Arabidopsis thaliana: one gene and its partner. The protein of the gene in region 1 purifies or fractionates together with the protein of each later gene. This does not show direct contact. Each region holds a gene or a part of one and is shown in the gene's direction. Other genes may lie near its edges. The genes, in order: DCL3 and PRL1.

Region 1 (16,380 bases):
CCATCAGAATTGGATACTTTTCTAACTAGTTTTTATTACCTTTACTATTCAAAACATTTAATATTACAAAAACAATTTTTTGTTCTTATTTACATTTCGAAACTAATGGGATACGTTTGTTATATAAATATCTTTAAATGATAACTGTCATTTTTGGTTTGACATTAGTTTTGTTTTGTTTAAATTGCAGGAGTATGGCAAAGATTCCCAAAATCCCAACCAGCCATCCAATCGAATGATCCACATGTTTATAACAATATTGCCATATTAGATTTTTATCCGCGGTCTACCGTGGGATTATATAATTTTTTTTAAAAATAAAACATTTAATTTGTTTAGTAGATTAAAAATATATATGATTTAATGTTTTTTATTTTCTAACTATACAATTCTTATATCTATAACTTTTTAGTGTAAAATTACTCTATTAGATTTTGTTTAAAAATATGGGAACAATAACATACAGTTCATTATGTTAAAATCTAAACTATAACAATAATTAAAATTGAAATTATATTTTTTGTTAATATTGTTTCTTTTGTATAGTGTTTAAAATAATATAATTGTATTTTGATTGTTATATCTAGAATTTCACCCGTGATATACCGTCTCAATTTACTATTGACCAAACCCGTCCTACCATCTAATGAATTTCACCCATGGTATACCGTCTCGTATTACTATCGACCCAAACTCGTCCTATCATCTAACCCCGTGCAGTGAAATTAAACATTATCTTATTATTTTTGTTTAAGTAATATTTTAATTTAAAAGATATATACAATTCAAATCAATTTAAAAGATATATAATTCAACAGATATCGTAGAGTAGAAATCTCGGAAAATGTATGTTGGGAGTAATTAGTTGATGAAAAAAATCTCAGATTATAGATATGTGAATAAACCCGTGTAGAAAGTTTTGAAGAGATTTTTGGAAACGTTTGTTGAGCGCAATATAAAATTTTTAAATTTTCAAATCTGAATAATTAATACCAATTAGATATATTGAGAGATTTTTGGCAACTATTATTGAATAGAATATTTCGTATTTAATTAGCAAAATAAAATATTTAATGCCACTGGCATGCCATTGTAAATAAGTGTCAAGTACATGATTTATTTGCTAAAATGGTTGCAAAAATGTAGGTGTAGATTCCAACCGGCCGGATCGCGTGTTATCCGAATTTGACTGGATATAGATCCGACCCATATATCCAGAATCCGTGTGTCAGAATGTGTTAAATTGCCCATTTTACCCCTTGACGAAATCTCTTAGTTTGCCTTAGTTTGAGAACATTTTATGTAATATTTTACCCTTTATATAGTTATTTATTTTTGAGTAATTTCCAATTAATATTATAGATCAAACTGTTTCTAACTATTAAGTTAGTGCGTTTTGTTATCTATTCCTAACCTTAAGTTAAATAAGACATGCTTTGTACACTGTTTTCTTGGTGAATAGAGAGGAAAATTCACTTTAGCATTTTGATATATATGGATTTAGTTTTGTGTGTTAAATCTATGAAGGTATATGATACTCCTGTGGAGGTGTGGAAAACTTTGTTATCTTTTCTGTCGATTCTATTCTAAATTTGGATAATCTCTAGCTAATGTACATTAATTGCAACAAGTTCTAGTGTCTATAATAAACTCTTTCATCACTCCCTCTCTAAGTAAAAATTAGATTATGAATCTTAGGTTTGGTTAAAAGGCCAACCAATTCTTGTATATAGGGACTCTAACCATGTGTCTGATCTATGTGATTGATTTTTCTCCACTAAAAATCATTTTCTAATCAAACATATGATTCATGGTGGTAGTAGATTCTTCACTAGCTAGCGTAGCTTCTTCTTATGTGTTGAATTTTGTCTCCCAACTGAGTTGGTCATTCTCCGTTTTTTTATATTTATCTAATTATTTTTAAGTTGGATTGTTAATGAAATTTTATTTTATGTTGATAATGTCGTTCAGCTGAGTCATGTTGGAAAGGTAAAACGTAATATCTCTCTGGGATGTACAATTATGTACTTGTTTAGTTAAATAAATATTTAAACTTTTTTGGATTTATTTTTGCATTAAACAAAACAAAAAAAAAAAACCTAAAACGTAATAGACGACTAATTTGAACATTAAATAGTGACTCGTTTCGTTGCTTCAGATAATATTTGGTAGATCACACCAGATTGCAGAGCATATTCTCTCATATCCCAAATTTTCTTACTTCCAATAGTCGATTTCGTCGTATCTAAAACGATTTAGCTGCGCAAATTTATGTTGAATAAACAAAGCAGTGGAAGAGGAAAAAGAAGTTAGTTCTAATTAATCTTTCGTTTAAGTAAATATATAGATCTTTGGGAGACGTAAGTTTTTATTGTTTATCTCTTATATAACCTACACTTTTAGGCTCCAATGAATCTATGACTTATTGTACAAGAAAGTTATGGACATGGGTTGGTTACATGATTACATAATGGTTTGTTTAGTTCTACGTTTGTGGTCCATTGTTACAAACTTTGTATGAACGTACGTGAGTAGGTTAATTAGTTTTGTACTTACGTTCCTTACTTCCCTGATTCTTGTAGGTATAACTAAGGGCAACGACTTTCTCCTCTAAGCTCAAATCTTTCCGTTCTCGATATTTCTCCTTACATGAGAAGGACAAAGATAAGGCTTTAATGAAGCAAAAATCGTTGAATCCTCTCTCTTCTTCTTCACCAAACTACGACGAGATGATTCAAGAGAATTTTAAGCCACATTGGATCATTGGGATTGACCCTAACTTATCCGGAGCTTTGGCTGTGCTGAAATTCGACGACAAGGGATCTTGTTTTGCTCAGGTGAATCGCTACTAATTAATTTTCGAAAAGAATATTGTTTTTCTTCTGAAACCCTAGAACTGTGAAACTACAAGATTCTAGGGTTTGTGAAGTAAATTAAGATATTCCATTGGGTAATCTCAGGACATGCACTTGGTTAGTCATAAATTATATATACAAGGTTCGATATTTCATTGGGTAATCTCAGGCAGATGGACTTGGTTTATCATAATTTATATATACAAGGTTCGATTGTTATCTATAGGAATTATATGAATGAAATTAATATTGGATGATAGAAGATTTACAACTAATTAACCTGTTTGTAACTATTGAGTTAGTGAGTTTTGTTATCTATCCCTTAAGTTAAATAAGACATGCTTTGTAAACTGTTCTCTTGGTGAATACAGTGGAAAATTCACTTTAGTCATTTTGATATGGATTAAGTTTTGTGTGTTAAATCTGTGTGAAGGTATATGATACTCCTCAGTTGGAAGTTGTAGTTCAAAACATCCGAACACGTAGTTTCAACGAAAAATCAATGCTAGAACTGATTCGTAGTCTAGATGTTCCATCCGGTAAGAACGATATTTCACTGTGTTTTTGTTGTGGCGTGTTCTTTGCGTTATGTTTAAAATCAATTTGGTCTCTTCACTGTTGTAGGAACCAAGGCATTTGTAGCGAAATATATTCATCCTGAAAACGCTATTGTAAAAATTACTCATCTCTTTTTTTTTTTACTTCAGTACGTTTATGATATGGATTCGATACACTGAAACATGATTGTGTCTTTATATCTTAGACTGCCTACAATGATGGACTTGGATGTGGATTATGGACACTTCTCACATCTAGCATTTCTGTTATTTACGTTACTCCTTCTACATGGGACAAACATTTTAATCTTAGTATTTGGAGTTTGGTGATGAATCTTAACTCTCAAACTTTTATGATTTCATGTCTATCCTCACATCAATTGCAATAAAAATATTTGCTTTTCTCTTCGTAGGATGGTGGCAGGAAACTCGCACTGGAAATGTTTCCATCACTTAAATTGACAACGAAAATTGACGACAATGCTCGAGCTAATGCACTACTCATTGCTGCATATGGTCATGCTACAAGTGATACAAGATATTACTCATTTTCTCAAATTAAGTGACATATCTAACATGTAAAAATGAGTAATGTTTTGGTGATTTCACTTATATATTGCATCTCTTTCTCTGCTCCTTTGGCTTTCAGAAAATTCTTCACTAATTAGAAAAAAATATTTTGTTTATTCTTTTTCCGTATTCAAAATCTCTCAAAATTTGGTCATTTTTCGATTTCTATATTTATCTAATTTTCAAGGTGAGAGTTGTTAATGTAGTTTGGTTATGATTTAACCCGACCGAAATCCTCATGACCTAACAAATTATAAATAATCTCTGACAAAACAAGGTAAATTGTCTCGGGTTGAAAGAGACATTAGAATTAGATGATATTAACATAAGTCAGCCCCTCTTCTACATTTTTAGCTTTCTTTTAGTCGAAAATCATTCCAAACTCGGAACATACATTGTGGTGTTTATTTGGGAAGAAGTCCACGCTAAAGTATTTTAGTACATTTCTACCAGATTACCCGGATAAATAAAAAAAGCGAAGTTACTTACAACATGAAACAGCTTGCACATTGAAGAAAAGTAATCAATCAGCAGTATATCCAATGAATCTATGCATCTTGTCAGGTCCATTGGGCCTTAGAGGCCTAAATATTTGAAGAAAGAGTAAAATCAAAAATAAAGTATCGAAAAAAGGTAACCCAAAAATTAATATAGTTTGACTAATTTTGTTGCAGTTTTTTTTTCTAGTTAAAAATTCAACATTCGAAACTCATGTTCTGACCTCATTTATACACTTGCCCAGTGGTCAGTGCAGAAAAAGAGAAAAAGAATCACCTTTTTGTTTTAATCTCAAAGTCGAAATTCGAAATTCCTCTACTCTTCCCGTTAAGTGTGTTCCTTTTTATCCGTTCGTCATGCATTCGTCGTTGGAGCCGGAGAAAATGGAGGAAGGTGGGGGAAGCAATTCGCTTAAGAGAAAATTCTCTGAAATCGATGGAGATCAAAATCTTGATTCTGTCTCTTCTCCTATGATGACTGACTCTAATGGGTATCATCATCTTCCTCTCTTTGTACTTGATTTTGGGTCTTATGGGTTTTTAGTCTTTTTCACTAAAGTTTACTTTTTTTTTGGCAGTAGTTATGAATTGAAAGTGTACGAGGTTGCTAAGAACAGGAACATAATTGCTGTTTTGGGGACAGGGATTGATAAGTCAGAGATCACTAAGAGGCTTATCAAAGCTATGGGTTCTTCTGATACAGACAAAAGATTGATAATTTTCTTGGCCCCAACTGTGAATCTTGTTAAACAGGCAAGTCTCTTGTTTGATTGTAAAAAGAAAAACTGTTTCATTTGGATTTTAATCATTTTGAGTTGATGATGTTGGCTAATGAGTCGCCTTGGGAGCTTATTTTTGAATGTTTTATTGGTGTGTGTGGTTTTAGCAATGCTGTGAGATCAGAGCACTTGTGAATTTGAAAGTTGAAGAGTACTTTGGAGCTAAAGGAGTTGATAAATGGACATCTCAGCGCTGGGATGAGGAATTTAGCAAGCACGATGTAAGTTTCTGTTTCTTTTTGTGTATATTTGGCTAGTTATACGCCAACAAAGTGACTTGCTTGTAGTTTTGGTGATTTTATATCAAAATTTCTTTGTGTGGTTAGTGAAACTTTGGCAGAATGTTGTAATCCACTTTGACCAGCTCATTGTTGTATTTTGAGTCATGAATGTTCTCTGAGTTAGTTAAAAGCCCATTCCAATTTGTTACTTTTGGGGTTGGTTCTTCTTCCAATGCTGATTATTTCTTAATTATTTTGTTTGAACTTGTTTGCTTGAGCCCTTGACGTAGATTTGTGACTGCATTGATCTCACTAACAGAATCACATACTTCTCTTTTGTTGCCGAATCCACGTGAGTCTATTATCTGCAATGAAATTATGTTTTGTATGGTTCAGGTTTTAGTTATGACTCCTCAAATATTATTGGATGTCCTTAGAAGTGCATTCCTGAAACTAGAGATGGTATGTCTTCTAATAATAGATGAATGCCACCATACCACTGGCAATCATCCCTATGCGAAGTTAATGAAGGTGTGTTTTCTCAGTAATGATAAGCTCTATTAGTTTTTTCATAATAGAGTTTCCATAACTTGTCAACGAACTAGATTCTTTCTTGTTTTCATGAAGGAATTCTATCACGAATCCACTAGCAAACCGAAGATATTTGGATTGACTGCGTCAGCCGTCATTAGAAAAGGCATGCTATTTAAAAGTTTCTTATTTCCTCTGTATGCCAAACCAAAGATCCTGCTTCCTGTAACTACTTTTTAATGTTTGAACTTCATGTAAGGAACATAAACTCATACTACAAGTGTTTCCTCTCCCTCTAACTATGCAGCTCAAGTATCAGAACTTGAGAGACTCATGGACTCAAAGGTACTTTGTTTTTGTGTAACAAGGAAACAGATATAGTTTACAAATTAATGCTATGCAATCTTACTTTGAATTCAGATTTTTAATCCTGAAGAGCGTGAAGGAGTGGAAAAGTTTGCTACAACGGTTAAAGAAGGTCCAATATTGTATAACCCATCACCATCCTGTAGTTTGGAATTGAAAGAAAAGTTAGAAACTTCACACCTCAAGGTATATAATATATGCTCACTGAATATGATCCAGAACATGACTCTTTCCTATTATGTTTCAGAGTGCTTGAAAAATATTCTGTTTTTTTTCGTACAGTTTGATGCTTCTCTTAGAAGGCTTCAAGAGTTGGGAAAAGACAGTTTTCTGAATATGGATAATAAGTTTGAGACATATCAAAAGAGATTGTCTATCGACTACAGAGAGATTTTGCATTGCCTTGATAATCTTGGCCTGATTTGCGCACACTTGGTATTTTTCTACCAGTTTAGTTTTTATTACCAGTTCTTCATTTGCTTACTCATTGTTACTTTTTTCTCCCGCTAGCATACCTGTTGTGCTGATTATTTTTCTTTTTTTTTTCATCTTGCTTTCGCGATAGGCGGCTGAAGTCTGCTTGGAGAAAATCTCAGATACGAAAGAGGAAAGTGAAACTTATAAAGAATGCTCAATGGTGTGCAAGGAATTTCTTGAGGATATTTTATCCACCATTGGGGTGTATTTGCCGCAAGGTAATGTATTCAAAGCTCTATATTGCATTGAGTCCTCTTCTAGTCACTAATTTTTACACTGTTTATCATTTGTGTTATTTAACAGATGATAAGAGTCTGGTAGATTTGCAGCAAAACCATCTGTCAGCAGTAATTTCTGGGCATGTATCTCCAAAGCTAAAAGAACTCTTCCATCTATTGGATTCCTTTAGGTAAATTTAAATTGTTTATCCAACTCCCAAAATTGCACCAAGATCTCCATCTGTTCTGACAATTTCAATTTGCTTGCAGAGGTGACAAGCAAAAGCAGTGCCTTATTTTAGTTGAGAGAATTATAACTGCGAAAGTGATCGAAAGATTCGTTAAGAAAGAAGCCTCTTTGGCTTACCTTAATGTCTTGTATTTAACCGAAAACAACCCCTCCACCAATGTATCGGCACAGAAAATGCAAATTGAAATCCCTGATTTATTTCAACATGGCAAGGTTACCTGTTCTTCATCACAGTCAGATGTTTTATAGATTGAGAAATGTTTTTATTTTGTCTTCTCTGAAAGCTTTTTAATGCATGTAGGTGAATCTTTTATTCATCACAGATGTGGTTGAAGAGGGATTTCAGGTTCCAGATTGCTCATGCATGGTTTGTTTTGACCTGCCCAAAACAATGTGTAGTTACTCGCAGTCTCAAAAACATGCCAAACAGAGTAATTCTAAGTCTATCATGTTTCTTGAAAGGTAGGAAGCAATATTTATTTAACACAAAATGTTTACCAAATTCCAGTTTTTGTAGCTTATTTCTGAATACTAATTATTGTAGAGGGAACCCGAAGCAAAGAGACCATCTGCATGACCTTATGCGAAGAGAAGTCCTAATTCAAGATCCAGAAGCTCCAAACTTGAAATCGTGTCCACCTCCAGTGAAAAATGGACACGGTGTGAAGGAGATTGGATCCATGGTTATCCCAGATTCTAACATAACTGTATCTGAGGAAGCAGCTTCCACACAAACTATGAGTGATCCTCCTAGCAGAAATGAGCAGTTACCACCGTGTAAAAAGTTACGCTTGGATAACAATCTCTTACAATCCAACGGCAAAGAGAAGGTTGCCTCTTCTAAAAGTAAATCATCTTCATCGGCTGCAGGTATGTTTTCTAATTTATTAATTCGTCAATTAGCTGGTGTCGCTGATTTTAGTCTTTAGTTCCTCTATCAGCCGCTGTTGTATCACACACATACACGCACACATCAGCAGTTGCATATCATATGTCTATGTCTAAGGTCATGGAGCTTGTCTTAATTTGTTTATTTATGTATACATTTCTTTTTCTTTTCGCTGAACAGGTTCAAAAAAACGTAAGGAGTTGCACGGAACAACCTGTGCAAACGCATTGTCAGGAACCTGGGGAGAAAATATTGATGGCGCCACCTTTCAGGCTTATAAGTTTGACTTCTGTTGTAATATTTCTGGCGAAGTATACTCGAGTTTCTCTCTTTTGCTTGAGTCAACTCTCGCCGAGGATGTTGGTAAAGTTGAGATGGACCTTTACTTGGTCAGGAAGCTTGTCAAGGCTTCTGTCTCACCTTGTGGCCAGATACGTTTGAGTCAAGAGGAGGTACATAACTCTGATCCCTAGTTATAAACAGTTTCTTGTTTCATGGTTTGAACTTGATGTCTTCTTCTTTGTGTTTTGGATGCAGCTGGTCAAAGCAAAATATTTTCAGCAGTTTTTCTTTAATGGCATGTTTGGAAAGTTGTTTGTTGGATCTAAGTCACAGGGAACAAAGAGAGAATTTTTGCTTCAAACTGACACTAGTTCTCTTTGGCACCCTGCCTTTATGTTTCTACTGCTACCAGTTGAAACAAATGATCTAGCTTCGAGTGCGACAATTGATTGGTCAGCTATCAACTCCTGTGCCTCAATAGTTGAGTTCTTGAAGAAAAATTCTCTTCTTGATCTTCGGGATAGTGATGGGAATCAGTGCAATACCTCATCCGGTCAGGAAGTCTTACTAGACGATAAAATGGAAGAAACGAATCTGATTCATTTTGCCAATGCTTCGTCTGATAAAAATAGTCTCGAAGAACTTGTGGTCATTGCAATTCATACTGGACGGATATACTCTATAGTTGAAGCCGTAAGCGATTCTTCTGCTATGAGCCCCTTTGAGGTGGATGCCTCATCAGGCTATGCTACTTATGCAGAATATTTTAACAAAAAGTAAGTGATATTCTAGCTTTGGCTGTTCTTTCAATCTACTTATCATAACTCTCTAGTTAATGTTATTCCCTTTTAATCAGGTATGGGATTGTTTTAGCGCACCCGAACCAGCCGTTGATGAAGTTGAAGCAGAGTCACCATGCGCACAACCTTTTAGTCGACTTCAATGAAGAGAGTAAGTTGATTCTTGAGAATTTCTCCAACATATGGAATCATTGTGTATGTTCTCATGATATTGTAGTGTGTGAGCTCTAAGATGTTGTTTCCAATGTAAATGGACAGTGGTTGTGAAGACAGAACCAAAAGCTGGCAATGTTAGGAAAAGAAAACCGAATATCCATGCGCATTTGCCTCCAGAGCTTTTGGCTAGAATTGATGTACCGCGTGCTGTGCTAAAATCAATCTACTTGCTGCCTTCAGTGATGCACCGCCTAGAGTCTCTAATGTTGGCCAGCCAGCTTAGGGAAGAGATTGATTGTAGCATAGATAACTTCAGTATATCAAGTACATCGGTATGGTTTTTGAAAACTATCTGTCATTTAGAGATGAAACTAGATATCTTGATTGTCATTAAACTCTTGTCTTGGTTCAATAAATCAGATTCTTGAAGCAGTTACAACACTTACATGCCCCGAATCATTTTCAATGGAGCGGTTGGAACTGCTCGGGGATTCAGTCTTGAAGTATGTTGCGAGCTGTCATCTATTCCTTAAGTATCCTGACAAAGATGAGGGGCAACTATCACGGCAGAGACAATCGATTATATCTAACTCAAATCTTCACCGCTTGACAACCAGTCGCAAACTACAGGTATCTTCTAACATTTGCAAGTAATGTCTTACATCAGTCAGAACACCAAAGAAATATCTTTCCATGGGGATTGGTTTGATAGGGATACATAAGAAATGGCGCTTTTGAACCGCGTCGCTGGACTGCACCTGGTCAATTTTCTCTTTTTCCTGTTCCTTGCAAGTGTGGGATTGATACTAGAGAAGTACCATTGGACCCAAAATTCTTCACAGAAAACATGACTATCAAAATAGGCAAGTCTTGCGACATGGGTCATAGATGGGTAGTTTCAAAATCTGTATCAGATTGCGCTGAGGCCCTGATTGGTGCCTATTATGTAAGCGGTGGATTGTCTGCTTCTCTCCATATGATGAAATGGCTCGGTATTGACGTCGATTTTGACCCAAACCTAGTCGTTGAAGCCATCAATAGAGTTTCTCTACGGTGTTACATTCCTAAAGAAGATGAGCTCATAGAGTTGGAGAGAAAGATCCAACATGAATTCTCTGCAAAGTTTCTTTTAAAAGAGGCTATCACACACTCCTCTCTTCGTGAATCCTATTCATACGAGGTATGACTTCATCATTTTCAACCCCTGCATTATTTGGCTGACTTATTCCCAGGTTTCCAACCTCATGCTATCATTTTTTTCCTCAAACAGAGATTAGAGTTTCTTGGCGATTCTGTACTGGATTTTCTAATAACCCGTCATCTTTTTAACACCTACGAACAAACTGGGCCTGGAGAGATGACCGATCTTCGTTCTGCATGTGTAAACAATGAAAATTTTGCGCAAGTTGCAGTGAAAAATAACCTGCATACCCACCTTCAACGCTGTGCTACGGTTCTCGAGACTCAAATAAACGACTATCTGATGTCCTTTCAAAAGCCAGATGAGACTGGTAGATCAATCCCTTCAATACAGGGCCCTAAGGTAAAAAATATACTTGCATGACCATTTAAAGTCCCTGCCTGAGATTTCAGATTATAAAGAGAGCAAATAGGTTGACATACTTGTCTATTTTGGTTTAGGCTCTTGGAGATGTTGTGGAGAGTATCGCTGGAGCATTGCTGATCGATACGAGGTTAGATCTCGATCAAGTGTGGAGAGTCTTTGAGCCGTTGCTTTCTCCACTTGTAACTCCAGATAAACTTCAGCTTCCTCCATACCGGGAGCTCAATGAGCTATGCGACTCTCTTGGGTATTTCTTTCGAGTGAAATGTTCAAATGATGGTGTCAAAGCACAAGCCACGATCCAGTTGCAGCTGGATGATGTTCTTTTAACTGGAGATGGATCTGAACAGACAAATAAACTGGCCTTGGGAAAAGCAGCTTCACATCTGCTTACACAACTTGAGGTATATATATTCTGATGTTTCCACTTGCGTGTGTGTTGGTGTGTGTGCTCAAACTTTCTTTGGTTCTTCAGAAGAGAAACATTTCACGTAAAACCTCGCTCGGGGATAATCAAAGTTCCATGGATGTCAATCTTGCTTGCAATCATAGCGACAGAGAAACTCTGACTTCAGAGACTACTGAAATCCAGAGTATAGTGATTCCATGTAAGCACTGTTATTTACCTAGAGAGATTCTTCTTTTCTTCTTCAGTTTTTTTTTTTTTTTGTATCAAGGGTTATGCATTTCATGGTTTTATGTGTTTCAGTTATTGGACCTATAAACATGAAGAAAGGCGGGCCTCGTGGAACTCTACATGAGTTTTGCAAGAAGCATCTGTGGCCAATGCCTACTTTCGATACCTCGGAAGAGAAATCCAGGTGACTTCTCATTTTGGTTCCTTTTTTCTCTGCTCTCATGTATCCCGAGTCCTGACCAATCTGAGACTGATAACTGCACAGAACTCCGTTTGAATTCATAGATGGCGGTGAGAAGCGGACTAGCTTCAGCAGTTTCACATCGACCATAACCCTAAGGATACCCAATCGTGAGGCTGTGATGTATGCTGGAGAAGCAAGGCCTGACAAGAAGAGTTCCTTCGACTCTGCAGTCGTGGAATTGCTTTATGAGCTCGAGCGCCGCAAGATCGTCATAATACAAAAGTAGACTAATTTAGACTGTACTATATATGATTCACATTTAGTCATCTCGAGCAGATCTTGGAAATGCGAGAACTCCCAAATAATAGTTTTGTATCTGAATCTCTAATTTATATGTTAATTGTTATGCCTTAATGATAAGCTCATAGACATTACTACAGTTGAAGCTACTAACACGTTTTAGCATCTCGAAACCTTTCTCGGATCCGAGAAACTGAATACGTTTGAATACAGTCTTCCCGCCTTTCATCACCGAGTCCGCTGCTCGGAGCTTTTCACTGTGCCTCGAGTTGGTGTGAATAGCTGCTTTGAGTTCTTCCTCGGACATGTTTTCCTGCGACAGTACATACAACACACAAAACTACTTTGAAAATGGTTTCGTCAACGAGATACTGGCACATATGAGGACATTGCTACCTGATAGAATGCATAGATGTTTTGGAGAATCTGCTGACATGTAAAGCCGGTTTCACTGAAATACGACCTGGAAGAAGGTCCCATTTCACCATACCAATCGATTGGAAGTAGTAATGTTATAAAATGGTTTTTGTATACCAACTCCATTCTCTCACTGTCATGCCATAACAACAATAAACAACATGAGCTTTATAAACTTAAAAGAGTAGCTTGGATCTCAAGTTACATAGATGAAGTAGAACATAGGAACCTTTCTGTGAGCAGTCTCATGGAGTGAGTGAATGAATCATTAGATTTAGCATCAAAGAAGGCAGATAAAGATTTTCTTTCGATATCGTCGTTGTTGCTGAAACTATCTATGATAACACTAGCTGTTGAAGTTGGTTCAGATATTGTCCAAGAGATAGAATCTAGAAGGCTGCTCAGATTTAACGGCTGGATCAGAGTCTTCCCCATCTGTTTTATGAACAAAGAAAATATAGTTCGGTTTAGCGATTGCTCGGTTTTCGAAGATGAAATAGAGAAAAAGATGAAATGCCTTTGCGTGGCGATTTGTGACAGTCTTTTTGGCGGATTCCACAATCTTCTGCCTTTCTTTGTGTGGTCTCGTCCTATCTGTAGGAGATTCCTGTAGGAGCACAAGATTAAAGGACTAGAGACTTCATGAATACTTATCTACAGACAAAAGATACCTTCCCAAGATTCTCAATCATTGTCCTAAGATCTCGTGCCAAATCATCTGACATTTGAACTAGATTTTGCGTTGGTTTCTCTTCCAACGTCTTCTGAAGCCATAGTGGCTGAAACAGGCGACAATTTTACATAAAGCAACCAAAGGATAATGTACCGCAAACAAGATGGAAAATGAGTTCTCATTAGCTTACTGTAACAAGATTGCTAGAGTGACCAAGATATCTTAAAACAGAACCACCTTCACATACAACATGACTAGCATTACATCCAATGAACCATTGAGTCATAAGCTTGGCACCTCCTTCAACAGCCACCTGTGAAACCTACAAGAATTGGAATGTAGCCGTTGATCCACGGGCGTTGCTACATACGTTTAAAACTCATAAGGTGTTTAGGACTAACCTGGCGTCTCACTTCCTCTGAAATATCAGCATCGATAAAAACCGAATAGCCTGACAAGGCCAAGTCCTTGCTTCCTGTGACCTCTATTCCTTGAACTCCTCCTCCTCTATGTAGTTTTTCTACCGCGTAAACCGACTTTAATCCATCTTCATTCACCTTAGTCTCTTCGGGATTTTTGACCGCGTAGAAAGACTCACTCAGCTTAACTACAACAAAATCACATCTAGTATGAGAAATAATCAACAAAGAATGTGCAAACTCGGTTAAAGACATACACACCATTTCTACAGACACTGTCCACAAACCACCCAAGCGTAACGATATACAAAGTCTCTCTTCTTCCATGTTTCAATGCATGCTCAAACTTCCGTCCATCATAATTGTATACTCCTTTTTGTGTTAAGAAACTAACACAAAGCTACATAAATGTTCATGTTTATAATTTCAAAAGATTACTCTAAATTCTATAGTAACATAAGGATATCTGAACAACCAAATGTGTACATAGAGAATGCAAAAGTGCACTGTATTCACCACCAAGTCTCTCTGTAGCTTCCTTGACCTGTTTCCTTGCCTCTACATACAACAATTGATACTCAATTCATAAAACTAGCTCAGAGTTCTTTACAAATACGCTGATTGATTTTGTCTATTAACAAAAAGTTGAATAATCGAGGTATTAATTTATCGAGTATTAATTTATAAATGTTTTGTTGGTACCTTTAGAGAGACCAGTTACGCAGATGATTAGACCAGAGAAAGGTCCATCGGAACGAACCGGTGGATGGAATCGGGAGGTGGTGGTGGTGGTGGTGGCCGGAGAAAAAGGCTCCGATATACGACTGCCACGTAGTGAGGGCGTGAAATCCACGCGCAGCTTCGAACACCTCTTTGTATCAATCACCTCTGCTCTTCTAACACCTTCCATAAGAAAATATGTTTGAATCTTGGAGTTCAAGGAAGAGGACGAAGATTACAAGCGTAACTTATGAAAACATAATAAACTAATAAAAGATTGTTGAAAGAAAAGAAGATTATGAGTATCTGAAGAATATGTATAGTAGAGGTGAGCATGATCGTTTATTTTAGGAAAGTAAATCCTTCGTCATTACAATCAAACGACTTCGTTGATATTTTAGTATTAACGCAATTAGTTCTCCATTATTTTATTTAAGAAAAAAGATTTTTTTTTTTTTTGACATATATCAACATATGAACGATAATTTGACATGTATCATATGATCACGCGAGTTACTAACTTTAAAAACTATATTTTATATAATAAAATTATATGACATAATATTTTAATTAACACGATACAAAATTTAATCCAATATAGAAAAAAATCACGAAACAAAATTTTAATGTAAAAAAATACATTAATATGTATCAAAATCTAATAATAGAAATGGTTAAATATGGAAAAAACTTCTTAAGAAAAAAAAAACTAGTCAAAGTAACAATAATAGTTTCAGTTTGCTGGAAAAAAAACATAGTTTAATTGGAAAACGAAATACATCAAATCATAATGCAATCATATGTATACAGGATAGTGTTATATATATCTTAACCACATAATTAAAAGACCAATTTTTATTGCAATCATATATATACAAAATAAAGTGTTATATATATATATATATATATTAACTACATAATTAAAAGACCAATTTTATTTGATTTTCTGATGTAGACAAATATTTATACATGTTTAAAACACGTACCCGTCTATACATCCGCGGATATATTTACATGTGTAAAGCTCAAGTTTCTTTTTTTAAATAGGAAAGGGGGAACAAATATCCCCCAATTTATTAATTAAGTAAAAAATTAATTACAACCAAATATTTTGTGGAAAGCTCGTCCAGTTAGAATCCTCTAACATTATTGAATGGATCACATCAGTACAAGAATCAAAAGAATGAAAACCTAACTATAAAAAAAGGCATAGTTTGCTAACCCGTCAGTCAGAAGGTTAACTATAAAACCTTCTGACTGACGGGTTAGCTTCTCGATATACGTGAATAACCCAGACTTACCAATTTCTTGTGATAAAGCCTTGGCAAAGATGTATCAAGAAAGACAGCGGATGAGCATCACTCAACCTTGTTCGTAGAAGTCCAACCACCAAATCTGAATTCAACTCCAACTCTATTCGACGAAATCCTGTCTCCCAACCAATGACCAAACCGTAGTACACACCCCCATAGTTCTTCCGTCGCTGTTGAGCATATACCTATGTTCAGCGTGAACCCTCCCAGCCATAATACCTCCCCATCGGATCACCCCCAAGCAGTGGCCAGTCCCGAGTTTCCACGAGACGCTCCATTTATAGTAAGTTTAACCCACCTTATACTCGGTGTGTTCGTTTTTCACCAAAAACATCACTACACCCCACTTCCAACTCCACCAAACCGCCATACTGAACAATGTAGGCCAACCTTACTCGCTAGTGCTTCCTCCAGTACTTAGATTTTCAAACAACCATTCCAAAAGAGATTTGGTAAAAAAGCATGTTGTCGCCGTTGAGGCACCAACCTCCTCCAAATACCATCCATCGGGGCAGTCTCTCAGCAAATGAATTATTGTTTCACTAGCAGCTTTACACACTTGGCAAATCTCACTTTCTCTAATATGACGTCTAAAACGTTCTACATTCGTCATTATTACTTGATGGCTAACCAGCTAGAGAAAAACACGCACTCTCTCCGGCGCTAGCACATTCCAAATCCATTTGTAGTAATTTGCGATACATG
Region 2 (15,373 bases), on another chromosome or scaffold:
CAAAAACTGACTGGAAGGCAAACTAACTTCCACTGCCTTTCCTAGCGCGGAACTCTCTTCCGGCTAAGTATCTCCTGTTCTTTCAGACGGTGTTGGAACCGAGCAAGACGGGCTTGAAGACTTACAAGACCAGCTGCTTTACGGGACAACACAAAGCTCAGCTGTGTAACATAGTTGTCAATCATGCTCCCTGGCCGATCCACCTTCGCTAGTAATTTCATTTCCTACAAAAAAAAACATGAAATAATGTTAAAACAATCACAAGACATATGAGCCATAACCTCGTGAACTATTTCCATTGTATCCTCGATCTCTTTTCTGTGTGCTGTAATTAAGGTCTCTTCTTCCTGCCAGAGTTTAAACAAAATAATTACCATATTACAGGTTTTCTAAGGTTATTCGTGAGCGATATTCATAAAATTCCCTCACGCTCATAGCATAATTTAGAAGTATAGAAGGGTCAAATGGCTCTTTACCTCAAGCAATGCATCAATGTTTTCATCAAGAGAAGGCTCCGTTGTTTCATACTGCCTTGAAGATGTATCGCTTGTGTTCTGACTGCTAGCCATATTTTGTTGTCTAGAATTTGTCATGGCAGGGACATCAGTCTTGAGAATAAGATGAGTGAATCCTTTGACTAGTGGAGCCGCCAAAAGAAGATTTTAAAATGTTAAGCATAAATCATATTCCTTAAATGTTAAGTGAATCCTTTGACTAGTATAGTATAGTGTCTGGTTTTTCATTAGACTTTCTGAGATGAGAGGTATTTCTATTAAAACTTAAGTTGAAGGTTTTAAAATGAATCAGCCAAAACTGCAGGGTTTGTTTCATTAAAATCCCAAAATTGTTTCGTATACATCATATTACCCACTGAGGACTCTGCTCTTTGTGGAAATGCTAAATTAGCCCCAAACCTTTTTCTAAGTCCCACTTTGAATTCTAATAAGAACGAACAGATCGCGGGAAATCCAAAATGATTTGAAACCTTTTCACCTGAATTTCTGTGAAATCCAAAATTCTCTCTCTATCAGTAGAGAATCGCCATGGATGAAGAGCTTCTGCTCACTAGAATCCTTGCAGGAATCGAAGGAGGAGACGATGAATCTGACTATCATGAACTCGTCACGGATCTCAAATCTCTACTTGATACAGACGATGATGAAATTCTCAATCGATTCTACGGTAGTCTCTCCTCAATGGCTTCTTCGTTTCTCCGCTGTATCTCCGCCGCCATGGATTCTCCGGTTGAATCAGGCCGTCTTGCTATTTTAGCCTCCGACGCTTATCTCAGTCTGCTTCTTTCCACGAATTGCCCCGTTTTCACTTTCTTCTCTCCGATTGCGTTTCTTTCTCTACTTGGCTCAATTCGCCGCTACCTCAAACGCCGTGATGATTCCGCCGGTCAAGGGAGTAATTCGCAGCGAGAGAAAGGGAATAAGAAGAAGAGAGGACGTGGTAAGAGGAATTTAGGGTATGAAGATGGGGAAGAGACTGAAGAAGGTGGATTTGATGCGAAATTGATGTTTATAGTGTTAGAGAAGCTTGGCTCGGTTCTGAGTTTTGTTCATTTAGATAGATTTCCTGATAGTTTGAAATCTTTGGTACAAACTGTGAGTGAGATTCCTTTATTGGCGTTGGAGCACTCTGGAGTTTTGAATTATGATCGATTGATGGAAATGTGTGGGAAGATTCTGGGAGGAGTGTTGAATTCTGACCATGGAGATATGGCACTCACTGCTGCTGAGATTTCAAAGTCTTTGACACCGTTGCTTCTTATGGGGAAACATCAAGCGAGAAGTTTTGCGTTGGGATTTGTGTCAAGGAAATTGATGAGTTTGGCTAAAGATAACCCTGAATTGAAAAAAGTTGTGTCTAATTTGCCTAAGTTTCTGGTTCATAAGGCACCTGAGAAGGCCGAGCCGCGTGGATTTGCAGTGGAGGCGGTACTGGAGATTGTAAAGGCAATGGAGGTTGAGGGCCAATCAGAGTTTGTTGATTTTGTAATGAAGATGTGTCAAGGGAAGTCTAATTTTAGAGTATTAGCTGTTGATATTATACCTCTGTTGATAAGCTCATTAGGAAACCCTCTAGGAGATATTAGTTCAGAGAATGGGTTGAAAGATTCGTGGGGCTTGGGTTGTATTGATGCTTTAGTTCAGCGGTGTTCAGACACGAGCGCTTTGATTAGAGCTCGAGCTTTGTCCAACTTGGCTCAAGTTGTGGAGTTCTTGTCTGGTGATGAAAGGAGTAGGTCGATCCTGAAACAAGCCCTTGGGTTTAACGGTGAGACTTCAGAGGGAAAAGGTGCAGTAACTGACCTTTTGAAGAAAAGATGTGTGGATGAGAAGGCGGCTGTAAGGAGAGCAGCTCTTCTTCTGGTGACAAAATTGACATCGCTTATGGGTGGTTGCTTTGATGGTAGTATCCTAAAGACAATGGGTACATCTTGTTCTGATCCGCTAATAAGTATAAGAAAGGCTGCAGTTTCAGCTATTTCCGAGGTATGTTTTCTGTAACTCAGTTTCTTCTTTCTCATTTACCCGATGGTAATATGTGTAGAGTTAGTATAATTTATACGGGTTTGCTTTGACCTTAATTAGCTCAAAGTTAAAGAGACCAAATGTGCAAGCCAAAAATGTTTTTAGATGAATGAATGGGAAATTACATAGCAACTGCTTCCGTCGGTTTCATACTAAAATCAGATAATCTTTATACTTTAACTTATCCCTGAATATAGGTCAGGCACTCAGGCTAATGACTTGTTATCATATTTCTCTGATGATGCAAGTTCATTGTCTTCTGTTCACTGTAGGCATTCAGAATATGTACAGATGAAATTGTGACCACTGAATGGTTACATTCTGTTCCTCGGATGATCATGGACAATGAAACTAGCATCCAAGAAGAATGCGAGAATGTCTTTCATGAATTAGTTCTGGAGAGAATATTACGAGCTGGAAATGTGCTTTCTCCAGACAGTGCTTCTCTCCCTAACAACCGGAACACTACTTCAAAAGATCTAGACAGAGACATTGAAGCCTTGTTTCCAGAAGGAGTTTTGGTTCTCTTAAGGGAGCTTTGCAACAGTGAGGTTTCTCCTTGGGTTACGAAAATATGTGGAAGTTTGGGAAAGAAGAAGCGACTAAAACCAAGAGTTGCCCTTGCGCTTCAGTGTATCATAAAGGAATCTGAATCACTGTGGTTGAGTCGTTCAATGCCAATAAATAGATGGACAGCTCCTGCTGGTGCTTGGTTCCTTCTATCAGAGGTTTCAGTTTATCTTTCAAAGTCTGTCGAATGGGAATTTCTTCACCATCATTGGCAGTTGCTTGACAAGAATGACGTACAAGGTTTGTCAGAATTCTGTTTATCCATCTATAAACATCTCAATCAACTGATTCATGTCTTTACTTGTTCCTACTGGTAGTGTGATTTTCTGGTTTTAGTCCTAACTTCTACCCTAATTAAACCAATTTTCATGAATGTATGTATGATAATTTGGCTATTTCTGAAGGGCTAGATGAACAAGGTGATGAACAGGGGGTCGAGTGTAATTCTTCTACATGGGCTGGCGATCGAGTTTGTCTTTTGCAAACAATCTCCAATGTTTCCCTTCAGCTGCCAGCAGAGCCTGCTGCAGATCTGGCTGACAATTTGCTGAAGAAAATCGAAAATTTTAACCTGCATTCTGCTGAGGTAATGATAAATATTTAACCTGATATCTTCTATATAAAATCAAGCTCATGTTTTGAAAGTACAGAAAGTTACTGGTTTTTGTCTAGAAGGATGTATTCTTTCAGATTTTGATATTTTTTTGGTACTTTTCTGTAACCTGAAACTTGAACGCTTGAATTGAGCAGATCATTATTCACTGGTTTGAAAATGGTTGCTTCGTATATGGTTCATCTATCTTCATGAACTTAGTCAATGCCATTGAATGACAGGTCGATGCACATGTCAAAGCATTAAAAACTTTGTGCAAAAAGAAGGCAAGCACCTCTGAGGAGGCCGATATGCTTGTCAAGAAGTGGGTAGAACAAGTTTCATTGAAAGCATCTAAGGTCACTGAGAAGTACATCGAGGGGGTTTCCAGTCATAATCATTCTTTTGTTACACCAGCAACACTCGGAAGTAGAAGAAGCAAGAGACTGGATACTGTGTCCAAGAAATTATCAAAAGCAGTCACAGCAGTATACACCATTGGATCTTGTGTCATTATATATCCTTCAGCTGACACGACCAAAATTGTTCCGTTCTTACATACTGTCATCACTTCAGGAAATTCAGACTCAAAGCTGAAAAACAAACTGCCGCAAGCTAATGTTTGCTTGAAGCAAAAAGCTCCTCTTCTCTATAGTCAGTCTTGGTTAACCATGGCGAAGATGTGTTTGGCTGACGGGAAGCTTGCTAAAAGATATCTCCCTCTCTTTGCACAGGTCTGTCTGCATTTGCTGATTCATGTGTCCATTTTATCATTTTGATTATTTCTGGAAAGGAAACTTTTCGTTCCAGGAACTTGATTCATTGGATGGTAGTCTCCTTTGTCTCTTCAATTTTTTTTAACCTATGTGAACCCGTTGATGCCTTACTCTTGCAGGAACTTGAAAAGAGTGATTGTGCAGCCTTGCGTAACAATCTTGTAGTAGCGATGACAGACTTTTGTGTTCACTATACAGCCATGATTGAGTGGTATTTCATTCACAGAACATTAATTTTTCAAATGTTAAACATGATTGCGACATTCTAATGGTTTGTTTACCTGGATAGTTACATACCGAAGATTACTAAACGTCTTCGGGATCCTTGTGAAGTTGTTAGAAGGCAAACCTTCATACTTCTCTCAAGGTTACTACAGGTATTGCTATTCTCCACAGATTCTTTATCTTCTGTTTTTAAAAAGTATTGAATTGACAATGAATAAGCAGGCTTGTTTTCTTGATTCAGAGAGACTACGTGAAATGGAGAGGAGTTCTCTTCCTTCGATTCCTTCTATCGCTAGTGGATGAATCTGAAAAGATACGTCGACTTGCAGACTTTTTATTTGGAAGCATCCTTAAAGGTATGAGAACTCACGTGAGCAACCATGAAATGCATTCTTTCATTCCCATGTTATTGAAAATTCTTACAGAGAGACATGATCTCTAGGATTTTTGATTATTGTTACGCCCCATGTTGCTTATAGTAAAGGCGCCACTTCTAGCTTACAACAGTTTCGTGGAAGCTATTTATGTCTTAAACGACTGCCATGCCCACACTGGCCATAGTAATCCAGATTCTAAACAATCAAGAACAAAGGATCAAGTTTTTTCTATCAGGTACTTGTGTTAAAGTTATATAGTCTATGCTCATACGCAAACTTGACATTTTGGTGTGAATGATCTTAGTGATTATCTTTGTTTCATTTGTTCTGTAGAGGGAATGATGAAAGGGCTAGGTCTAAAAGAATGCAGATCTACGTTACTTTGCTTAAACAAATGGCCCCAGAACACCTTTTGGCCACATTCGCCAAGTTATGTGCAGAGATCCTCGCAGCTGCTTCTGATGGAATGCTCAACATAGAAGATGTCACTGGTCAATCAGTTCTACAGGTAACTTCCAAAATGGCTACAGAGCCTTTTTTCTTCTTGTGATTGCCGATTTTTAACTCGTTTTGTCTCGGTGTAGGATGCGTTTCAGATCTTGGCGTGCAAAGAGATCCGTTTATCAGTTTCCAGAGGAGCATCGTCGGAGACAGCAGATATAGAGGAAGAAGGTGGAGATGCAGCAACTGCAAAAGGAAGGGCCATAACGCACGCTGTTAGAAAAGGTTTGATTCAGAACACGATTCCAATCTTCATTGAGCTCAAGAGGCTATTGGAGAGCAAGAACAGTCCTCTCACAGGTTCGCTCATGGACTGCCTCCGTGTCCTCCTCAAAGACTACAAGAACGAGATCGAAGAAATGCTTGTCGCTGACAAACAGCTTCAGAAAGAGCTTGTTTACGATATGCAGAAGCACGAGGCTGCAAAGGCAAGGTCCATGGCTAACCAAGGGGTTGCCTGCGGGACAAGTCATAGAAACGGTGAACCTGAAGCATCAGCAGCAAGCGAGGAGAATGTTAGAGATTCGGGATTGGAATCAAGAGTGGTTTCTGCGGCTGCTGATGTGGTGGCGGCTAAGGCAGCTAGGTCGGTGTTGAGAGAAGTGAACGGTGGAGCTGCAACGCCGCCTCTGAGCGCAATGAGTGTTCCGAAGCTAAGGTCGAGCCGTGGAGTTAGCCAGAGTGGTCGACCATCAGCTGATGTGTTGGAGTCTCTGAGAAGAAGACCAACTTTCATGTCTGATGATGAGAGTTAGAACTTAAAAATGAGACTGTAGAAAATAGCTTTTGCTGTAAATGCATGACTTCGATTTTTCTTTTTGGGAGATTAGATCGAGACTCTATTAAAGTCTAAATCGTATTTATAAACCGCATAAGACACTAAAACCTGGTGTGTGTGTGTGTGTGCGCGCATTTGTTTGCTTGCTCATGTTTGTCCTTGTGTGATAAATCCATCCCTGCCCTCAAATTGATTTATGTGTTGTATGTGTTGATTTTAGTGATAACATCTCAAAGTGATTAAATATTTTCAAAAATGCTATTTGATGTCTATAACGGCTTTAAAACTTTTGCAAGTTCATTAGAGCTATCTCTAGCACATATATGGCGCTTAGAGATGTTACGAATATGTAAGACTGATTACATATCTCTTTGGCTTAATAAATATAAGTATTTGTGTTGAACTCTTTATCTTCTTCTTGAAGATGTCTTATGGGAAACATGTTAAATGGATAGTAAATGAGAGATTCGAAAATATAGTGTGAGCTTCCTTCTTTGGTTTATGCATTCTCCATGTGGGGGGCAAGGTTTTTGAAGATTTATACTTTTGTGGCAAATCTCTTGTTTGAATACTCCATGGGAGTCTCTCATCAAAACTATGCTGCAAAATATTTGAAAATTTATAAATCTATTGTCTTTGAGAAAGTGTTACAAAATTTATGACCTCAATAATATTGCATGAAAACTTTCATACATCATTTGGTATATGTATGTTTAAGAAAAGGTAAAACCGTAATTATAAAGAGAAAGAAAATACAATATCTTAATACATATCAATCTAATTACTCATTAACCATATTAAGAAAATATGTGTCTTTATTTTTTCCTTTTAACATAAAGCTTAAAAAGAAGATTTGTAGCCAGAAAAATTAATTGTGTTCATTTCCCTTTTAAAAGAATTTTTCGGCGCAACAAAATCGTGAAATTGATATAAATAAACTCGAGATTATTAATATAACCCTTTTTCACTTCACTTCTCTTTCTCTCTAAACCCTAAAAGAAGAACGATGCCGGCTCCGACGACGGAGATCGAACCCATCGAAGCACAGTCACTGAAAAAGCTCAGTCTCAAATCCCTCAAACGATCACTTGAACTCTTCTCTCCCGTCCATGGCCAATTCCCTCCTCCTGACCCGGAAGCGTTAGTCTTCTTCGATCCCCAATTTTCGATTCGAATCTTCATTTTCTTCACTAAGTTTTTATGATTTCTTCGTTTTTTTTTTTTTTTTTTGCAGCAAGCAGATTCGTCTCAGCCATAAGGTAAAACATTGAGTCTCTCTTACCAGTCTTTAGAAATTTATTTCAGTTATTCGCTTTTAATGTCTATTGATTGGATTTTGGTTTAAAGCTTCGAACTTTAGGTTTATTCAGGTTTTTCCATAATTGTTCTAAATCTTCAGGTTTTGTTACCAATAATAGTAAAGATGGTTGATTTACTTAGACTCTCTCTCTCTCTCTGTTGTGTATGTTACTGATTTTAGAAGTTTTCTTTGTACAGATGAAAGTTGCGTTTGGAGGTGTAGAACCTGTTGTGAGTCAACCTCCACGTCAACCTGACCGCATCAATGAGCAGCCAGGACCTTCAAATGCTCTTTCCCTCGCAGGTGTTTTTCATATCACTATGTCTTGGTGAAAGATAAAAACTTGTTTCTTGTTTGCTATTTGCATTCTTATTTGTATTGGAAGGGATAAAATCATCTGCTTGATGAATTCTGCAGCTCCTGAAGGGTCTAAGAGTACGCAAAAGGGTGCGACAGAGAGTGCTATTGTTGTTGGTCCAACTTTACTGCGTCCAATACTGCCTAAAGGCTTGTAAGTGTTATCTTTTGTTGTTGGTTTCGTTGATCTGAATGCTAATTGATGGTTCTACTTTATCGTGAGGATGCTCATAAAAGAATTCGGTTCTCGAATTGAAGGAACTATACAGGTTCCTCAGGGAAGAGCACCACCATTATACCTGCAAATGTATCTTCATATCAAAGGTTTTTTTCTCGTCCTCATACTTGCTTTTCTTTATCTGGATTGCAATACATTAATGGCAGCTCTAGGTAGTGTAGGTAGTTCATGGGCATGCAAATTAGACTTCCCCCAATCTGAATTTTTTTGGTTTGTCCTTATAATGTAGCTTCTAATTCTGATTCCTTTTTTGTTGTTGCGTTCCTTTGCGTGTTACAGAAATCTGTCAACTGCTGCATTAATGGAGAGAATACCAAGTAGATGGCCCCGGCCAGAGTGGCATGCACCATGGAAGAATTACAGGGTAAAATCCGTGGCTCAGCATTGTTGCTGCATCATACGGATTTTGGTCTTTTGTTGGTCTCCAAAAAACTCTGGTTTGAGGAGTTACTTAACTTACGATTAATTATTCTTTTCACAGGTCATTCAGGGGCACTTGGGTTGGGTCAGATCTGTTGCGTTTGACCCGAGTAATGAATGGTTTTGTACTGGTTCAGCTGATCGTACCATCAAGGTAGCAGAGATGATTGCTTATTCAATATGAATTGTATTTTTTCGAATATGTTTTCTTGTTATACTTATAAGTCATGATACAAGACTTCCCTTCTATGGCTAGTTACTGGAGCTTAGTTTAGTGCATTGCCAAAAATCCACTACTTTGGCGATTGTAGAAGCAGTTCCGACTTTGGTATGTTTACTGAATTTATTACTTGTGTTTTATTCACTAGATATGGGATGTAGCAACTGGAGTTCTGAAGCTAACACTTACTGGGCATATCGAGCAAGTACGAGGTTAGCCTTTCAAATCTGTTCTCGTTTATTAATATTTGTTAGACTTTTCAATAAATAACACTCTCGGGACAAGTTACAAGTTTGGGCTCTTTTGTTTTGAATTTTGTTACAGGCCTCGCTGTAAGCAATCGACATACCTATATGTTCTCTGCTGGTGATGACAAGCAAGTCAAATGCTGGGACCTTGAGCAGAATAAGGTTACAACTCTATTCTCTTCATTATCTGGATTTCTCATATCTAATGCTCTTGGAATTTTTGATTTGATAGGTTATCCGATCTTATCATGGTCACTTGAGTGGTGTCTATTGCTTAGCTCTGCACCCAACTTTGGATGTTTTATTAACTGGGGGGCGAGACTCTGTCTGCAGGGTAAGGCAAAAATATTTATATCCATATTTATATATCTTCTCGTTTGAATTCTTGCACTTTGCTGGATTTGTAGTTTAAAAGTCCATGTTTACTTATTTGCAGGTGTGGGATATTCGTACCAAGATGCAAATTTTTGCACTCTCAGGACATGACAACACCGTTTGTTCTGTATTTACTCGTCCAACAGTAAGTCTCTTTTAATATGGACTTGTTGTTATGGTTTTTGGATTTCTTGCTGAATCTTTTTATAATAGTAACTGGAACTCACTTTGATCTGTGTTGTTGCAGGACCCACAAGTTGTCACCGGATCCCATGACACGACCATTAAATTTTGGGACCTTCGATATGGTATATCTTATCATTGTAACCATTGTTTGGACTTAAAATCCATATTATTTAAATCCTTCCTTATTTGATTATCAGTTGCTGCAAATATATGGTTTCATTTGAATAATGCTGTATTATTATTATATGCAGGAAAAACAATGTCAACGCTAACACATCATAAGAAATCTGTCCGAGCAATGACCCTCCATCCTAAAGAGTATGTGTAGTCGTACTGAATCTACTTTTGTGTATCGTGCTGAATCTACTTTATCTTTCCAATAGCGAAGTCTTTGCACCTAAACTTTTCCTTTATGTTATCTCTTTAATTTTCTTTTTAGGAATGCCTTTGCTTCTGCATCAGCTGACAACACCAAGAAATTTAGCCTTCCAAAGGGAGAGTTCTGCCACAACATGCTGTAAGTCTCTGCTAGATAATTATATACTTTGCATCTCCAGTGCTTTTGAAATAGGAGCTGTCATTATTAATTATGTAATTGATGTGTTTGAACAATGTTTATCTTTTTCCATGGAAAAGTTCGCAACAGAAAACCATAATTAATGCAATGGCTGTAAACGAGGATGGTGTGATGGTCACTGGAGGTATATAATCATTTCTGATTCCTTTCGTCCCTGTGATTGTTTTCCTTTGATAGTAAAATGGGTGAGACATAATCATTTTCAACTGAAACTGATTCTATATATGTGTGAATGAAGGTGATAATGGAAGTATATGGTTCTGGGACTGGAAGAGTGGTCACAGTTTCCAACAGTCAGAAACTATCGTACAGCCTGGTACGTACATTTATAGCTTTCATGGTCTTTTGCTCCTGATCTCCTTGTTATGGTAAGATGTAGAAGTCTCGGTATGTTCATACAACGTAGTCAAGTTTGAACCCTGGTAAAGACTCAAATGTTAGAAGTGTATGATACTATGATTGAGCTCTAGGGAAACCAAGAAAGTTGACGTAGGTTTATGGTTTATGTAAATGCCTATAGCGTCGTCTTACAAGCAAATAGTAAATGGGTCTTTAATTGGATGTGGTTGGGCATATGGCAGGTTCCCTGGAGAGTGAAGCGGGTATATATGCAGCGTGTTATGATAATACAGGTTCAAGATTGGTAACATGCGAGGCTGATAAGACGATAAAGATGTGGAAAGAAGATGAGAATGCAACTCCAGAAACTCATCCTATCAATTTCAAACCACCAAAGGAGATTAGGCGCTTCTAAATAACTTGTATCTGTAACTCAAAGCTCTTGTTGGAATCTCACTAATCTCTTCATGATTCTGTTTCCTAGATCAACTTTTGAGAGGGGACCTTTGTTTTGTGGTGGGGAGGAAACAAAAGGCCATGTACTTTATGTATTTTAAGGGCATTTGTAATTTTTTCTATCAACAATAATAGATCATGTATTGTTGTTTATGTTGAGAGAACTTTGTTACTTTTATCTCCCGTCTCTTGATTCTCTTCGTTAGTACTTATCGAAGATCTATCATGATTTCTGTGCAACCAAATCTGTGAAGTTTTGTAGGACGAATCTAAGTATTTGATCAACAACTTATATCTCTAGTCTCCACCACTGAAAGTTTTCAGCCTAAATTTTGGCTCGGGTTGTTTGGTTTATGAAGCTTTTATAGTGTAACTACACAGCTGATACGAAGAAACCAAGTGTAAAAACAAAACAGCTGATACGAAGAAACCAAGTGTAAAAACAAAAGAAAATATTGAAATAGTAAACAATTTGAATGGAAAAGATCCACTAAAAAGAGACGGTGATGGTGAGCTCGTTTGCGCGAAGACACCTGTGTGTTGGTTTTGCAATACGTAAGTGACACGTTCTAGTTATCATCATTCAGATCTCACCGACCTCTTCTGATCTTTTGTACCAAAGTATACTTGTTTATTCGCAGATCTTTTGTAGACTTTTCACCTTTTTAACTGCCAGTATCGTTTAGTGGAAGACGTACATTGGTTTTTACGTCTTCTATTTCTTTCAATTCAATCATCAAACTATCAAAGCATCAAACTATCATAGCTTTCTCACTAGTCACTTGTGGGTTTCTCGAAAACAGGCAAAAACATAAATAAAACCCCCCAAAAAAATGAATTAGCCATTTACTATTTTCACATTTCAGTTTTTAACCTTACTTTGGCAGTAAGTATGAGCAGTGGGTCCACAGTAAGGCCCATGAGCCCAAATTTCTCTGTCGTGGTCTATATAAGTGCGCCTAACCCAAACCCTAAAGTCTCTCGAAAAACCATCACCGGGGAATCTGACGGCGGCTTAGTACCGGCGGCTACTGCAAAAAGGATTGTGTTCTTCTTAGGCTTGATACTTGCCTTGGGAAGAATATAACAATCATTTTGCGGTAGCTAAAACGCTAAGCTCTATCGTCATATCTTTATCATTGATACTTATTTGATATCTAAATATCATAAAAATGGCCGCTCGTTCACTCTCCGGTGCCGTTAAATCTCTTTGCTCCGCCGCATCCGGAAGTCTGTCTTGTTCCATTGTCTTAAGGTACTTATGTTTGAACTGATCCCATTTTTTCAGGTTACAATATATAAACATTTACACACTCTTTCATTTGCTTAGATCGTATAAAGAATTTATAATTCTAATTGAATAATAGTTGATGGTTTGAATTTGAGTGAAGGCTAAAGATTGATCTATCATTAATAAACGTAATTAATTTACTTAGATCTATTAAAGATAATTATGCATGATATTATCACGTTATTTTCTACGTTTTCGTTATGTTATTTAGTCATTTGCTGTTTATATAATCTTACCTTCAAAATAAATTATTGGAATGTAGGAGGAGTTACGTTGCTACATCGCAGAATGTAACAGCAGCAGGATTGAGTAAGGGAGGTTCCACCAGAGTTATGGTGGGGAAGATGGAACAGAGAGGTTTAGATCAAGAGGCAGAGTCTGCTTGGGGACCAGATCCAGTTACTGGATACTACAGACCTTCCAATCGTGCGGCTGAGATTGATCCAGCTGAGCTCAGAGAGTTGCTTTTGAAAAACAAAGCAAAGTCTTTCTGAGAATTTTGATTGGTTGGTTGACTTGGTTCCAGTGGAAGGTTGTCGTAGGCGACTATTCTGATTATGTGTGTTTATGTTTGTCTTGTATCAACTATTAAGTAAAAATAAAGATCACATTAACTAGTTAAAAATATAATATCTGTTTGGATCGACTAACACAACATCTTTAGTATAACAGTGTCTTAAATGTTTTAAGAGATAAATGGGGATATACGAAAAATAGAAAACGTTGCTAATTATGACTAAATTATGATACTTAACAACGTCAACAACAACAAAACAAGATGATTTCACTATGGCATTATATTTTGTGACCACAATCTTATACTTGTTGTTGTTGTCAACATCAAATACAACAATAGAAAATGATGGTGCTTTTTCATACCCCATATAAAATTTTGTTGATTCTTCATGCCCATAGTTTTGTTGAGGCTGCTAATGGCCTAATAGTCTTAGAAAATGCAAACGGACTATTGAGGGTTGAGAATATGCTGTAATTCGGCCCACTTCTGGGCTAGTCGAGTGAATACGTAAGGATCAATCATCAATACTTGGTTGCCACAATAGATTATGAATCAGTGAAACTGTGAAGGGTTCAAGATCTTAGTATATATCATAACTAAATATTATCACTTTGTCCACTAAACTTAAAATGATAACATCGATTCTATGCTATAATGAGATACTGAGATCAACGTTTTGGCTGCTTTTCCTCCTTTGGTCTTAGCTAGTGGTGCTATTTTAAAACTTTTCAGTACTTTTTCGTTTTAGGTTTACTGATGTGTTTGTTATCGGAAGAGTTTTGTCTCTGTTCAATTTTTTCTTAGAAAATATTTTTTTTTGAACATGTATTATTTCTCAACATTTGTCAGTCTAAACGTGTTGTCACTCACATTTCTTCCCCCAACAAATATCAAACATGTTGTCACTCTCGTTTTCATATATGAAATTGAGCATCAACAAGTATTGAGGAGGACATATCCCTGAGCTAGTCATTATGACCATGTTGTTGTGTCTGAAATGAATATCACGATCCGAACGCTAAAGGGAAATGTCAAAGTCCGAGAGACGAGTAAAACTGAAATATGTTTGCTCCACAAATACCGAACCGTACGTACGTCTGTATGACTGTATACGCTCACTTGCAATCGAACGTACACAACGACACAAGACGTTTTTTTACGAATAATATCTCACAAACTCAACCGTCAAGAATCTCAAAACTTATCCAAACAAAAAAGTTACTAAGCCTCAAAACATAGTAAACACTCCATTCTCTTATCTTCGCTTAACAAAAGATGCATTACAATAACAATCCCTAAAATATGTAACATCTTCAAATTAATCTAATTTTGTCCAAAAAAATAACGTACACAAAATCGCACACCACAATAATGTAACAAAAAATATAAAGATTTGTATTTATAAGACCCAAATTAATTAACAAGCTCTTGACATAAAAAAAAAGGGATTTAAGAGAGGAGAGGTTCAACACGTGATGTGAGGCCTTCCTCTTCATCTTGAGCAATCTCACTTAAACCGTTGCTTAAACCAACCGGTTTGGCATTTCTGTAAATTCCATAAAGTATGAGTTGCATTGTCCCAAACACAAACCCCACTCCATTTGGCACCTATCCAATTTCACCACATAACTTTAATTAACTAAATTAATCAATCAATCACAAATACATTATTTCTCAACAACATAATTATAATCAACGCCTATCCGAAATCACAATAAAACGCATTTGAAAATGTCCCCACAAAATAGTAGTTGTTGCATTTTTGAACCAGACACGTTCTTTAAAAAATTAATTGTTTGAAAAAAATGGCCAAAAAAAAAAACATTTTGGTTAATGTTGGAGACTTGGAGTCCACAATTTTTAAAAAATCATTGAGCATTAAATCGATTTTTTCTTTTCCAGAAGATTTTTTATAAACTGTGACATGACCTGACACTAATGGGGTCTAATTGGGGATGTAAAGAAAACAACAAAAATATTTTGGGGGTATTGCTGGAATATCGAAAAAGATATGGGGTCGATGAAATAGCTTTGTTAAGTTTTCCTTTTTGTCTTTTGAATGTGTCTAAAGCCAAAACACTAACGGGACACAGAGACGGCATGAGTATAAGGGTGTAATCATAAATTAAGAAGTGAATAAAACAGTGAAACTATACTTACGAGTAAGAAAACGTCGTGTTGGAGTAAAGCATAGACAGCCCAAATCGCGCCGTTTAAGAAGAGGAAAAACGACAACCAAAACGGCATGTATTTCACGCTCTTTGTTGTCACTACTGTTTTCTGCATATTGTATTAAGAAATTAGACACTATGATCAGTCTATATATTATAACAGATATTGTGATAAACTCAAAACGTATTCTATTTATTTTGTTGCGAATGATTGAAAATGAAATGTTACGTATATATGTCTTTATCCAAGATATGGACCTACCATACCAAGTCGTGGTACAGTATAGTAGCTGGAAAATAAATAAACAATTGGGACGTT

What was found.
Region 2: the proteins of DCL3 (region 1) and PRL1 purify together in Arabidopsis thaliana (affinity purification with western blotting, with the first as the bait; one study listed by BioGRID). This does not show direct contact.

The regions. Positions count from the first base shown.
Region 1 is NC_003074.8:15,748,712-15,765,091, forward strand, and holds DCL3 (dicer-like 3), read left to right. Parts: upstream 1-4,836; coding exon 4,837-4,970; intron 4,971-5,057; coding exon 5,058-5,232; intron 5,233-5,365; coding exon 5,366-5,479; intron 5,480-5,875; coding exon 5,876-6,010; intron 6,011-6,106; coding exon 6,107-6,180; exon of another isoform or gene 6,181-6,291; coding exon 6,292-6,355; intron 6,356-6,430; coding exon 6,431-6,562; intron 6,563-6,658; coding exon 6,659-6,811; intron 6,812-6,941; coding exon 6,942-7,071; intron 7,072-7,156; coding exon 7,157-7,262; intron 7,263-7,341; coding exon 7,342-7,534; intron 7,535-7,622; coding exon 7,623-7,783; intron 7,784-7,865; coding exon 7,866-8,191; intron 8,192-8,390; coding exon 8,391-8,662; intron 8,663-8,747; coding exon 8,748-9,268; intron 9,269-9,348; coding exon 9,349-9,443; intron 9,444-9,550; coding exon 9,551-9,780; intron 9,781-9,868; coding exon 9,869-10,078; intron 10,079-10,160; coding exon 10,161-10,628; intron 10,629-10,718; coding exon 10,719-10,991; and 9 more. Other genes in the region: AT3G43910 (MutS2), read left to right, coding at 2,676-2,837, 3,289-3,394, 3,480-3,526, 3,619-3,738, 3,826-3,978; AT3G43930 (BRCT domain-containing DNA repair protein), read right to left, coding at 12,237-12,446, 12,530-12,683, 12,780-12,985, 13,068-13,157, 13,222-13,329, 13,414-13,545, 13,625-13,830, 13,904-14,006 and 2 more; AT3G43940 (uncharacterized protein), read right to left, coding at 15,554-15,682, 15,827-15,947, 16,018-16,073, 16,163-16,309. UniProt on the Arabidopsis thaliana protein: Ribonuclease (RNase) III involved in RNA-mediated post-transcriptional gene silencing (PTGS).
Region 2 is NC_003075.7:9,016,410-9,031,782, forward strand, and holds PRL1 (pleiotropic regulatory locus 1), read left to right. Parts: upstream 1-7,256; 5' UTR 7,257-7,365; coding exon 7,366-7,499; intron 7,500-7,593; coding exon 7,594-7,618; intron 7,619-7,856; coding exon 7,857-7,962; intron 7,963-8,076; coding exon 8,077-8,170; intron 8,171-8,274; coding exon 8,275-8,340; intron 8,341-8,533; coding exon 8,534-8,618; intron 8,619-8,735; coding exon 8,736-8,828; intron 8,829-9,042; coding exon 9,043-9,106; intron 9,107-9,218; coding exon 9,219-9,304; intron 9,305-9,374; coding exon 9,375-9,476; intron 9,477-9,578; coding exon 9,579-9,662; intron 9,663-9,764; coding exon 9,765-9,825; intron 9,826-9,954; coding exon 9,955-10,021; intron 10,022-10,142; coding exon 10,143-10,220; intron 10,221-10,339; coding exon 10,340-10,404; intron 10,405-10,518; coding exon 10,519-10,596; intron 10,597-10,861; coding exon 10,862-11,034; 3' UTR 11,035-11,399; downstream 11,400-15,373. Other genes in the region: AT4G15885 (kinesin motor protein-like protein), read right to left, coding at 42-224, 282-347, 477-569; AT4G15890 (binding protein), read left to right, coding at 1,044-2,501, 2,813-3,350, 3,515-3,696, 3,945-4,436, 4,598-4,689, 4,768-4,855, 4,945-5,059, 5,183-5,315 and 2 more; DI21 (drought-induced 21), read left to right, coding at 12,248-12,330, 12,629-12,860; SWEET17 (Nodulin MtN3 family protein), read right to left, coding at 14,333-14,491, 15,044-15,163. UniProt on the Arabidopsis thaliana protein: Pleiotropic regulator of glucose, stress and hormone responses. Also regulates cytochrome P450 CYP90A1/CPD.